Macaca mulatta: one gene and its partner. Each later gene encodes a partner of the first gene's protein in a complex. Links are inferred from orthologs where the notes say so. Each region holds a gene or a part of one and is shown in the gene's direction. Other genes may lie near its edges.

What was found.
Region 2: the proteins of NTRK2 (region 1) and NTF4 are in contact, whole or in part, in a crystal structure (PDB 1HCF), measured with the Homo sapiens proteins. The link is inferred for Macaca mulatta from reciprocal best matches to the Homo sapiens genes NTRK2 and NTF4. Residues at the interface, in NP_001018074.1 of Homo sapiens: Phe291, Glu293, Thr296, Ser297, Asp298, His299, Cys302, Pro304, Thr306, His335, Val336, His343, Gly344, Cys345, Asn350, Thr352, His353, Met379, Gly380, Trp381, Pro382, Gly383; in NP_001382418.1 of Homo sapiens: Gly81, Val82, Ser83, Glu84, Thr85, Ala86, Ser89, Arg90, Arg91, Gly92, Glu93, Leu94, Ala95, Asp98, Ala99, Ser101, Gly102, Trp103, Thr105, Tyr135, Phe137.

What each region holds. Positions count from the first base shown.
Region 1 is NC_133420.1:115,658,603-115,662,409, forward strand, and holds part of NTRK2 (BDNF/NT-3 growth factors receptor precursor), read left to right. Parts: intron 1-2,933; coding exon 2,934-3,070; intron 3,071-3,613; coding exon 3,614-3,746; intron 3,747-3,807. UniProt on the Homo sapiens protein: Receptor tyrosine kinase involved in the development and the maturation of the central and the peripheral nervous systems through regulation of neuron survival, proliferation, migration, differentiation, and synapse formation and plasticity.
Region 2 is NC_133424.1:61,511,294-61,515,762, reverse strand, and holds the start of NTF4 (neurotrophin-4 precursor), read left to right. Parts: upstream 1-1,614; 5' UTR 1,615-1,718; intron 1,719-1,850; exon of another isoform or gene 1,851-2,019; intron 2,020-2,057; exon of another isoform or gene 2,058-2,133; intron 2,134-2,323; exon of another isoform or gene 2,324-2,596; 5' UTR 2,597-2,739; exon of another isoform or gene 2,740-3,029; 5' UTR 3,030-3,153; exon of another isoform or gene 3,154-3,276; intron 3,277-4,469. UniProt on the Homo sapiens protein: Target-derived survival factor for peripheral sensory sympathetic neurons. May promote ameloblast differentiation and subsequent reduction in proliferation of ameloblasts.

The sequences.
Region 1 (3,807 bases):
AATTGAAAGACAAACACAAAAGCAACAAAGAAAGAGAGAGAAAAAAAATTGCTAGAAACAAAACTGATATAGAGAAAAGAAAAATTCAAGAAATGATTATAAATATATCATAGAAATCGTAAGAGATATTGCATCCATGGAACAAGAAGAAGGTGCTATAAAATAAGAACATTCAGGAACAAAAGAAGAGCCTTGGGAATAAAAAATATGATAGAGGAATGAACAACCTTAAAAGCAGGCTTTAAAAATTAATCTAAAAAACTCTCCCTGCAAATAGAGCAAATAAATCAAAAGTTGGAAAATAGGAAAGGAATGGAGAATTAAATGGGCTATCTATAAGGTCCAACCTCCAAGCAATAGTTCTAAGTGGTAAGAAAGCATGTGTTATAGTTATATTGGCACATTTTTTTCCTTTCATAGTGGTACATAATAGCAATGTTGCAACCTGTAATTAATACTGTTTTAAATTTGGTGAAATAAAGTAAGTATTGCATATTAGATGGTTCTGGTGTTAGTAAGGCTTGCATACTCATAATAATTTTTTTTTTTTTTTTGAGATGGAGTCTTGCACTGCTGCCCAGACTGGAGTGCAATGGCACGAGCTTGGCTCACTGCAAGCTCCGCCTCCCGGGTTCAAGCGATTCTCCTGCCTCAGCCTCCCCATTAGCTAGGATTACAGGTGCCTGCCACCATACACACGGCTAATTTTTTGTATTTTTTAGTAGAGATGGGGTTTCACTATGTTGGTTAAGCTGGTCTCGATCTCCTGACCTCGTGATCCAACTGCCTCAGCCTCCCAAAGTACTGGGATTACAGGCATGAGCTGTACCTGGCCACATACTCGTAATCATCTTTATGTCTCCACTGAGACAATTATAGCACATGAAAAAGTGTGAAGACAGAGTATGTTGAATGTGGTGGGGGCCTGAGGAGAGCTGTCATTCTGTGTGAAAGGGAGCCCCTATCTCATCTTCCACAGTGGGAGGTCAGCAGATACTGCTGAAACAGGAAAACCAAGAAGTAGCAATAAAGAGTAATGCTTAGTGATGAGCAGAGCAATGCCCAAAGAAGAAGTTAAAGGAGATGAAATGGGTGCCTCTGGGAATAGGAAATAGTGCCACATGGGTAAGGTGGGACTACTGTTTTTCACACACAGTAGCTTGAATCTTTTTCATAAGTTTTATAGAATTATCAACTCTTCAAACTATGTGATTAAATATTTGATTTTTGAAAAACAAAATTAAGTATATACATATTTTTAAAAGTCACCCAGATTATGCCATTGACTTCAAGGGGATTTTTCACTAAGTAAGCCCATTTCTTCTATTTTGCCTTGACACGCTCCCTAATAAATTGAACAGCTTAATTGTCATAGAAGTTGTGAAGAAAACACATTGAGAAAAACAACAGACTCATCCAAGGCCACAAAGTTAGTATGTGCCAGGTTTAGGGTGTGGGGCTTGTATTACACTCTCTGTTAATCATTGTTATATATTTCATTGCTCTGTATAACTCTGGCTATTAGGGGCTTTTTTTTTTTTTCTTGAAACCCCACGAAAGATGTAACATTGGTCTCTATTGGATGCTCACGGGAAGGAAGAGTTTGGAAGGGGGTCTCACTAGCCCCTGAAAGCCAGATCTTATTGGGGAATCCTCTCCCAGTGGTGGGAAAACCATGAGATACAGACTGTATAAATCTTATTCCAGTCTGATTTCACTAATAAAGAAAGATGGCTTTGCCAGTAGGAATACATGATAAGAGAAGGGTTTATCCATAATAATGTGAAGATGACGGGTCAAATATTGCCAGGTGGGTGGGTTAATTGCAATTTAACAGTTGTTGAAAATGAATCGCCTTCTTTGACCTCCAGGTTCTGATCTGACTTAATGCTGTATCATAGTTCTGCAGGATATAACTGTCAGGTGACTACAGTCCCAAGCAGAGTTCCTGACACCAAGAGAGGGACAGCCTCCACTAGCAGGTCCTGACATATTGTTATACCCTCTAAGATATGCCTACGTGTAAAAAATACCATGATTCTTATGCAGTTTAAAGCGGTGTCCACACTCAGTTGGTGTGATAATTTCATGAAGTGATAGCAGCATCCCTAAAATTACACATAGCTTTTGAAATATAAAAATATAAAAATGATGCCTTGCTGCACTATTAAAAAATGTTTATAAGGTTCAAAGTTTCATCTGATAAGTACATTCTCAGAGTCTTTCCAATAAAAAGAACTTTTCACTGAAATGAGTCCATATACCCATTTTCATTATATTCTAAATAAGATAGCAGTTTTACCTATAATATTCAACTACGATTTACGTAACTTTGAAACATTCTAACACTAATAGTTCAAACTGCCTGTCTTTGAAAAATGCTTTGAAACTACATTTTCTTCAATAGAATGAGTCTTTCAAAATCTGTGTCTGGTAGAGGGTTACATTTGTGAGAGTTACTTAAAGCAAAAAACAGATTTTTGCAAAAACAACATAGCTGCATCTCACCCTTTTGTGTTCTTGAGCATTAAAAAAAAATAGGGGGTAGGAGACAGAAGGAAATAAAAGACATGATGTCAGTCCATAGGTACAATCTCTGTTTATGTGCAAAAACTGGATTAGTAACTGTAGAACAGAAAAAGAGGTGGAAGACAGTTCTTTATACTAGTGTTCTTAAAATAAAAGGTTATTAGGCATTAATGCTATAAGAAATGTGCATAATTTATTTTGAAATCTACTTATAGCTTTTTTTGATTTATGTTAAATCTATGAAGCTGATCAAAGTGGCACTTTTTCAGATCAACATAAATCAGTCTCAAAAAGCAATTAAAGATTGATTTTTAAAGCATAAACAGTTTTCAATTTATTGCTTTTAGTTTGATACTGCATTTAACTATTTGCATATGCCTCTGTTTACTTTTCTTGTTCCATAGGTTTACCATCTGCAAATTTGGCCGCACCTAACCTCACTGTGGAGGAAGGAAAGTCTATCACGTTATCCTGTAGTGTGGCAGGCGATCCGGTTCCTAATATGTATTGGGATGTTGGTAATCTGGTTTCCAAACATATGGTAAGGCTTGTGTTTGGCTGTGTCTTAATAGAGAGACAAGAGTGTTTCAGAATGTGAGAATGTATTAAACCTAGTGATGATCATTTGATATTTTATAGGGCTACATATAGAAATTTACAAAGAGTTTTTGATGTACATTTACTTTCTACTTATTCTTAATTAACAAAGACTAATGCAGGCTTGCATTTTAGTTATGCATACCTAAGAGAGCAAGGAGTCTTTATATCCCTAGTGAGCTCTTTGCATCATCCTGAACAAAGCGAGTGACTTTCCCTGTGGTCTTCTCCCTTGGAGGGAATTCAGGGATCAAGTCAACCTCATGCACTTAGCAACTGAAACCTAGAGAAATAGAATAACTTCTGATTTACTTCTTTGCCTGAGCCTATTTCAGGCAGAGAAGTTTTTCTAATGCTATATATTATATTATATTATATTATATTTATATATTTGTTTTTTTCTCTAGTTAGGGGAAGAAACCCCAAATCTTGTCACTTTGGGATCAATCCTAATCAAGGTTATTTTTGTCTGTTAATTCGTTTGTAGAATGAAACAAGCCACACACAGGGCTCCTTAAGGATAACTAACATTTCATCTGATGACAGTGGGAAGCAAATCTCTTGTGTGGCAGAAAATCTTGTAGGAGAAGATCAAGATTCTGTCAACCTCACTGTGCATTGTACGTAATCAGACTGGCATGTGCTTTTAATAGCAAATGATCACGGACATACCTACGTTTG
Region 2 (4,469 bases), on another chromosome or scaffold:
AGAGGATGCAAGAGACTCAGAGAGAAGGAGACTGTGACCCAGTGAGGGTAGACAGATATCCAGAGAAGAAAACTGGGACCCAGAAAGTGGGCGGTGGGGGGGAACAGGCACCTGGGGGGGGAACAGAGACCACAGAGAAGGGGGCCAGAGATCCAGAGAGAGAGGGGGCCAGAGACTCAGAGAGAGGGGGGGACAGAGACCCAGAGAGAAAAGGACAGACCCAGAGTTGGAGGGAGACAGAAATCCAGAGACAGGAGGACAGAGATCCAGACAGGGAGAGGACAGAGACTGTTTCTCAGTCACTCTGTTTGGAAACCTCATCCCTACTATCCCCTCCAGGACTAGAAGCTAGAAGCTAGAGTCTAGAGTCCTCCTGCTATGGGGCAGGATGTATTGGGTGTTTAGGAACAGGGAAATGTGGAGAAGCCAGAGAGGTGACCCGAACACACACCCAAAGCCTGGGAAGTGGCCCTTCCCCCCACCAATAAATAACTGTGAGGAGCAGGAAACACCCTAACCGGGGACACCCTCCTGCCACCTTGCCATGCTATATTTAGGCTGAGGGGGTGTGGGATGACCCCTGAGGCAGGTGTCAATTTTCCTTCTGAAAATAGCACAGGCAGAGGGAGGCAGAGTCTCAGGGTGGAGGTGTGGTGGGGTGAGGAGCCCGGCTGCCCTCATGACTGTCCTGAGACGCTCTAGCTCCGATCCCATCCCTGTCTTTCTGAGGGTCTCTCAGGGGCTCTGTCCCCTTCTCCGGAGGGTCTGCCCTCAGTCTCTCTGGGCCTCTGTCTTCTCTCTGGGCTTCTGCCCTCCCCCACTCTCTCTAGTCTTGATCCCCCTCTTTCTTTTGGTCTCTCCCCACTTTTCCATGCCTTCATCTGTCACCGCGCACCATTTCTGGAAGGAGCTGATTGTTCTTAAGACACATCTGTCTATCTCTGGGTCCTATAATACCTTGCATGTCTCTTATCTGAGCTCAGGACAAGACCCTCTCCCCGGTCCCCATCCAGGAAATTCCAGGGGAGAGGAGTATGCGGGAGCCCCCACATCCACTGTCTCCCCGGGCCTGGGGCCTTATCACTGCCCAAGCCCAGCTGGTTAATGTCTGGCGTGGAGCTCCTGGGAAGTGGGGAGGAGAGCAGAGAGTGGGAATCTGCCCCGGGATTGACACGCAATTGGCAAAAGACGGCAAAGGAATCTCAGGCCCAGACTCCTGGGGCTAATGGAGGAGGAGGCTGGGGGCTGGACTCCTGAGTCTGAGACGGGGCGGGGTTGGGAGGTGGTGGGGGGAACTGTGGGCTTAGTACTCAGGCGCCTGGGGCTCGGGGGAGAAGTGGCTGGGGTCGCAAGTCCCGGGTCTGAGGGAGGAGGGGCTGGATGCCTGGACTCCTGGGTCTGAGGGAGGAGGGGCTGGGGACCTGGACTACTAGGTCTAAAGGAGGAGGCAGCTGGAGACTGGGACTCCTGTGACCAATGCGGCCGGGTTGAACGAGCCAGGCCTGGCTTCCAAGGTCCCGGCACGCCTGTACAAGGCAGGATCCCCCGGCCCCTCCTCTGCCGTCCGGCGCCGCCCCGCCCCCGCCCCCGACCCGGGCCCTGCCGAGAGTGAGCAGCGAGCAGCCGGCGGGCCAGCGAGCGTCCCTGCAGCCAGCGAGCAGGAGGAGGAGCTGCTGCTGGGCCGAGGGCAGCTGGGGGAGCCGAAGAGGGCGCCCCAGGTAAGAGCTCCGCGCCTCCTCCCCCGGGATTCCGGCGTCCTGGTCGCCCTGCCCTCGGGTGGGGAGGGACGGGGGCGGGGCCGACGGGGGCGGGGCTTGGCTGAGGAAACTGAGGCAGGAGGGAAGTGTCCCAGATACGCAGCCGGTTTCCCCTGAGGGGTCTCAGGAGTCCAGACCCCCCACCCAAATCTGGAGGATGAGGAACCCGGAGTCTGCATTTCTTAGTACCCGAGAAGGAGGAGCCTGAATTCCAGAACTCCTGGGTCTGAGGGAGGAGGGCGCTGGGAGCCTGGATTCCTGGGTCTGAGGGAGAAGGGTGCTGGGGGCCTGGACTCCTAGGTCTGAGGGAGAAGGGTGCTGGGGGCATGGACTCCTGGGTCTGAAGGAGGAGGGCGCTGGGGGCCTGGACTCCTAGGTCTGAGGGAGAAGGGTGCTGGGGGCATGGACTCCTGGGTCTGAGGGAGGAGGGCGCTGGGGGCATGGACTCCTGGGTCTGAGGGAGAAGGGTGCTGGGGGCATGGACTCCTGGGTCTGAGGGAGGAGGGCGCTGGGGGCCTGGACTCCTGGGTCTGAGGGAGGAGGGCGCTGGGGGCCTGGACTCCTAGGTCTGAGGGAGAAGGGTGCTGGGGGCCTGGTCCTGGACTCCTCCTGGGTCTGAGGGAGAAGGGTGCTGGGGGCCTGGTCCTGGACTCCTCCTGGGTCTGAGGGAGAAGGGTGCTGGGGGCCTGGATTCCTCCTGGGTCTGAGGGAGGAGGGCGCTGGGGATCTGAACTCCTGGGTCTGAAGGTGGAGGCCCTGGGGTGTGAAGGAGAAGGCAGTCCTGGTTGGGTCAGCCTGGGCTCCTTTCACTCTCCACCCTTCCCCTTTCCTGTACGGAGGAGCCAGGGCAGGCAGTCACTCCAGGTATGTGCAGAAGTCTTGGGCGGGCCCTGGCCTGTCCTGTGAGGAGGGAACATTCCAGGAAGCAGCTTGGGGAACCAGGGCTTCTTGAGTGTGGGCCCTCAGGGACCCAGGTGTCCAGGTCAGTTCCGCCCCCTCTGGGAGATGAATGGGCCGAGGGGGATGTCATCTCTTCCAGCCTGCTTCATCCACTGCCTCTCCCTTCCCCTCTTCTCCCCTCCCCTCCCTCCATCTGCTTCCCATCCCAGCCAGGAGCCATCACCTGGGTAGAAAAGGGGCCTCTGGAAAGGGGGCGGGGCCTTGACTCTTGGGTACCCTGAACTTCAAGAGGAACTCTGGGGAGGGGGTGTTCAGGGATTTGACCCCTCCCCCACTTGCCTCTATAACCTGTCTATTCCTTTCTTCCCCTAGGTGGTTGCCCCCTCCCTCTCCTGAGATGTCAGGAAGGAGGGGGCCACCTGTGTCCTCCACAGGGGCCCCCCGAAGCCTGGGGACTCCCAGCCCCAGAGCTCCGAGGTGGAGGAGGTGCTGACAGGTCTGGTAACCACTGACTGTTTCCCAGTCTTCTCCACACCACCCTTTCCCAGAACCACAGGCTTCCAGAATGTTGTAGAGAAACTGCAACATCCAAGCCTCCACCAGCCTCTCCCAGCGCCAGGTCAATTTCACACACGGGAAAACTGACGCCTGTCTCAGAGGGGCAGCGTTTTCCCTCCTTAGTGGCAGTTTTGAGGTGCAATGGGGTCTCCCTAGGATTCCAGGTTGTGGCCTTTCTCCAAATTGTGGAATGTGGCCAGGCATGGTGGCTTGAGTCTGTAGTCCCGGCTACTCAGGAGCCACAGCAGGAGGATTGCTTGAGCCCAGGAGTTCAAGTGCAGCGGGGAAATATAGCGAGACCTGGTCTTAAAACAATTTGTGGCCGGGCGCGGTGGCTCACGCCTGTAATCCCAGCACTTTGGGAGGCCGAGGCGGGAGGATCACGAGATCAGGAGATCGAGACCATCTTGGCTAACATGGTGAAACCCCATCTCTACTAAAAAAATTACACAAAAAATTAGCCGGGCGTGGTGGCGGGCATCTGTAGTCCCAGCTACTCGGAAGGCTGAGGCAGGAGAATGGCGTGAACCCGGGAGGCGGAGCTTGCAGTGAGCCGAGATCGCGCCACTGCACTCCAGCCTGGGTGACAGAGCGAGACTCCGTCTCAAAAAAAAAAAAAACAAACAAACAATTTGTTTGGGACCAGGTGCCATGGCTCATGCCTGTAATCCCAGCACTTGGGGAGGCCAGAGTAGGAGTATCACTTGAGGTTGGGAGTTCAAGACCACTCTGACCAACATGGCGAAACCCCATCTCTACTAAAAATACAAAAATTAGCTGAAAAACTGTGGCAGGCACTTTTAATCCCACCTACTCAAAAGGCTGAGGCAGGAGGAGAATCCCTTGAATCCAGGAGGCAGACATTACTGTAAGCCATGATTGAGCCACTGCACTCCAGCCCTGCCAACAGAGTGAGACCCTGTCTAAAAACAAAAAAAAAAATTGTTTTGAACATCCTCCAAGATTCAAGACTCTCGGTTCCTCAGAGTTGTACAGGAAGGATGGCAGAATGCAGTTGCCCAGAGTTTAAGTCCTATCTCTGCCATTTGCTGGCTGCCTGACCAGACAGAAATCATTAACTTCTCTGAGCCTGTATTTCAACATTTGTTGCTATTAAGTAATAGTAGTTGAATTTATTTTATTATTTTTTTTTTCTTTTTTTTTTTTGAGACGGAGTCTCGCTCTATCGCCCAGGCTGGAGTGCAGTGGTGCAATCACGGCTCACTGCAAGCTTCGCCTCCTGGGTTCACGCCA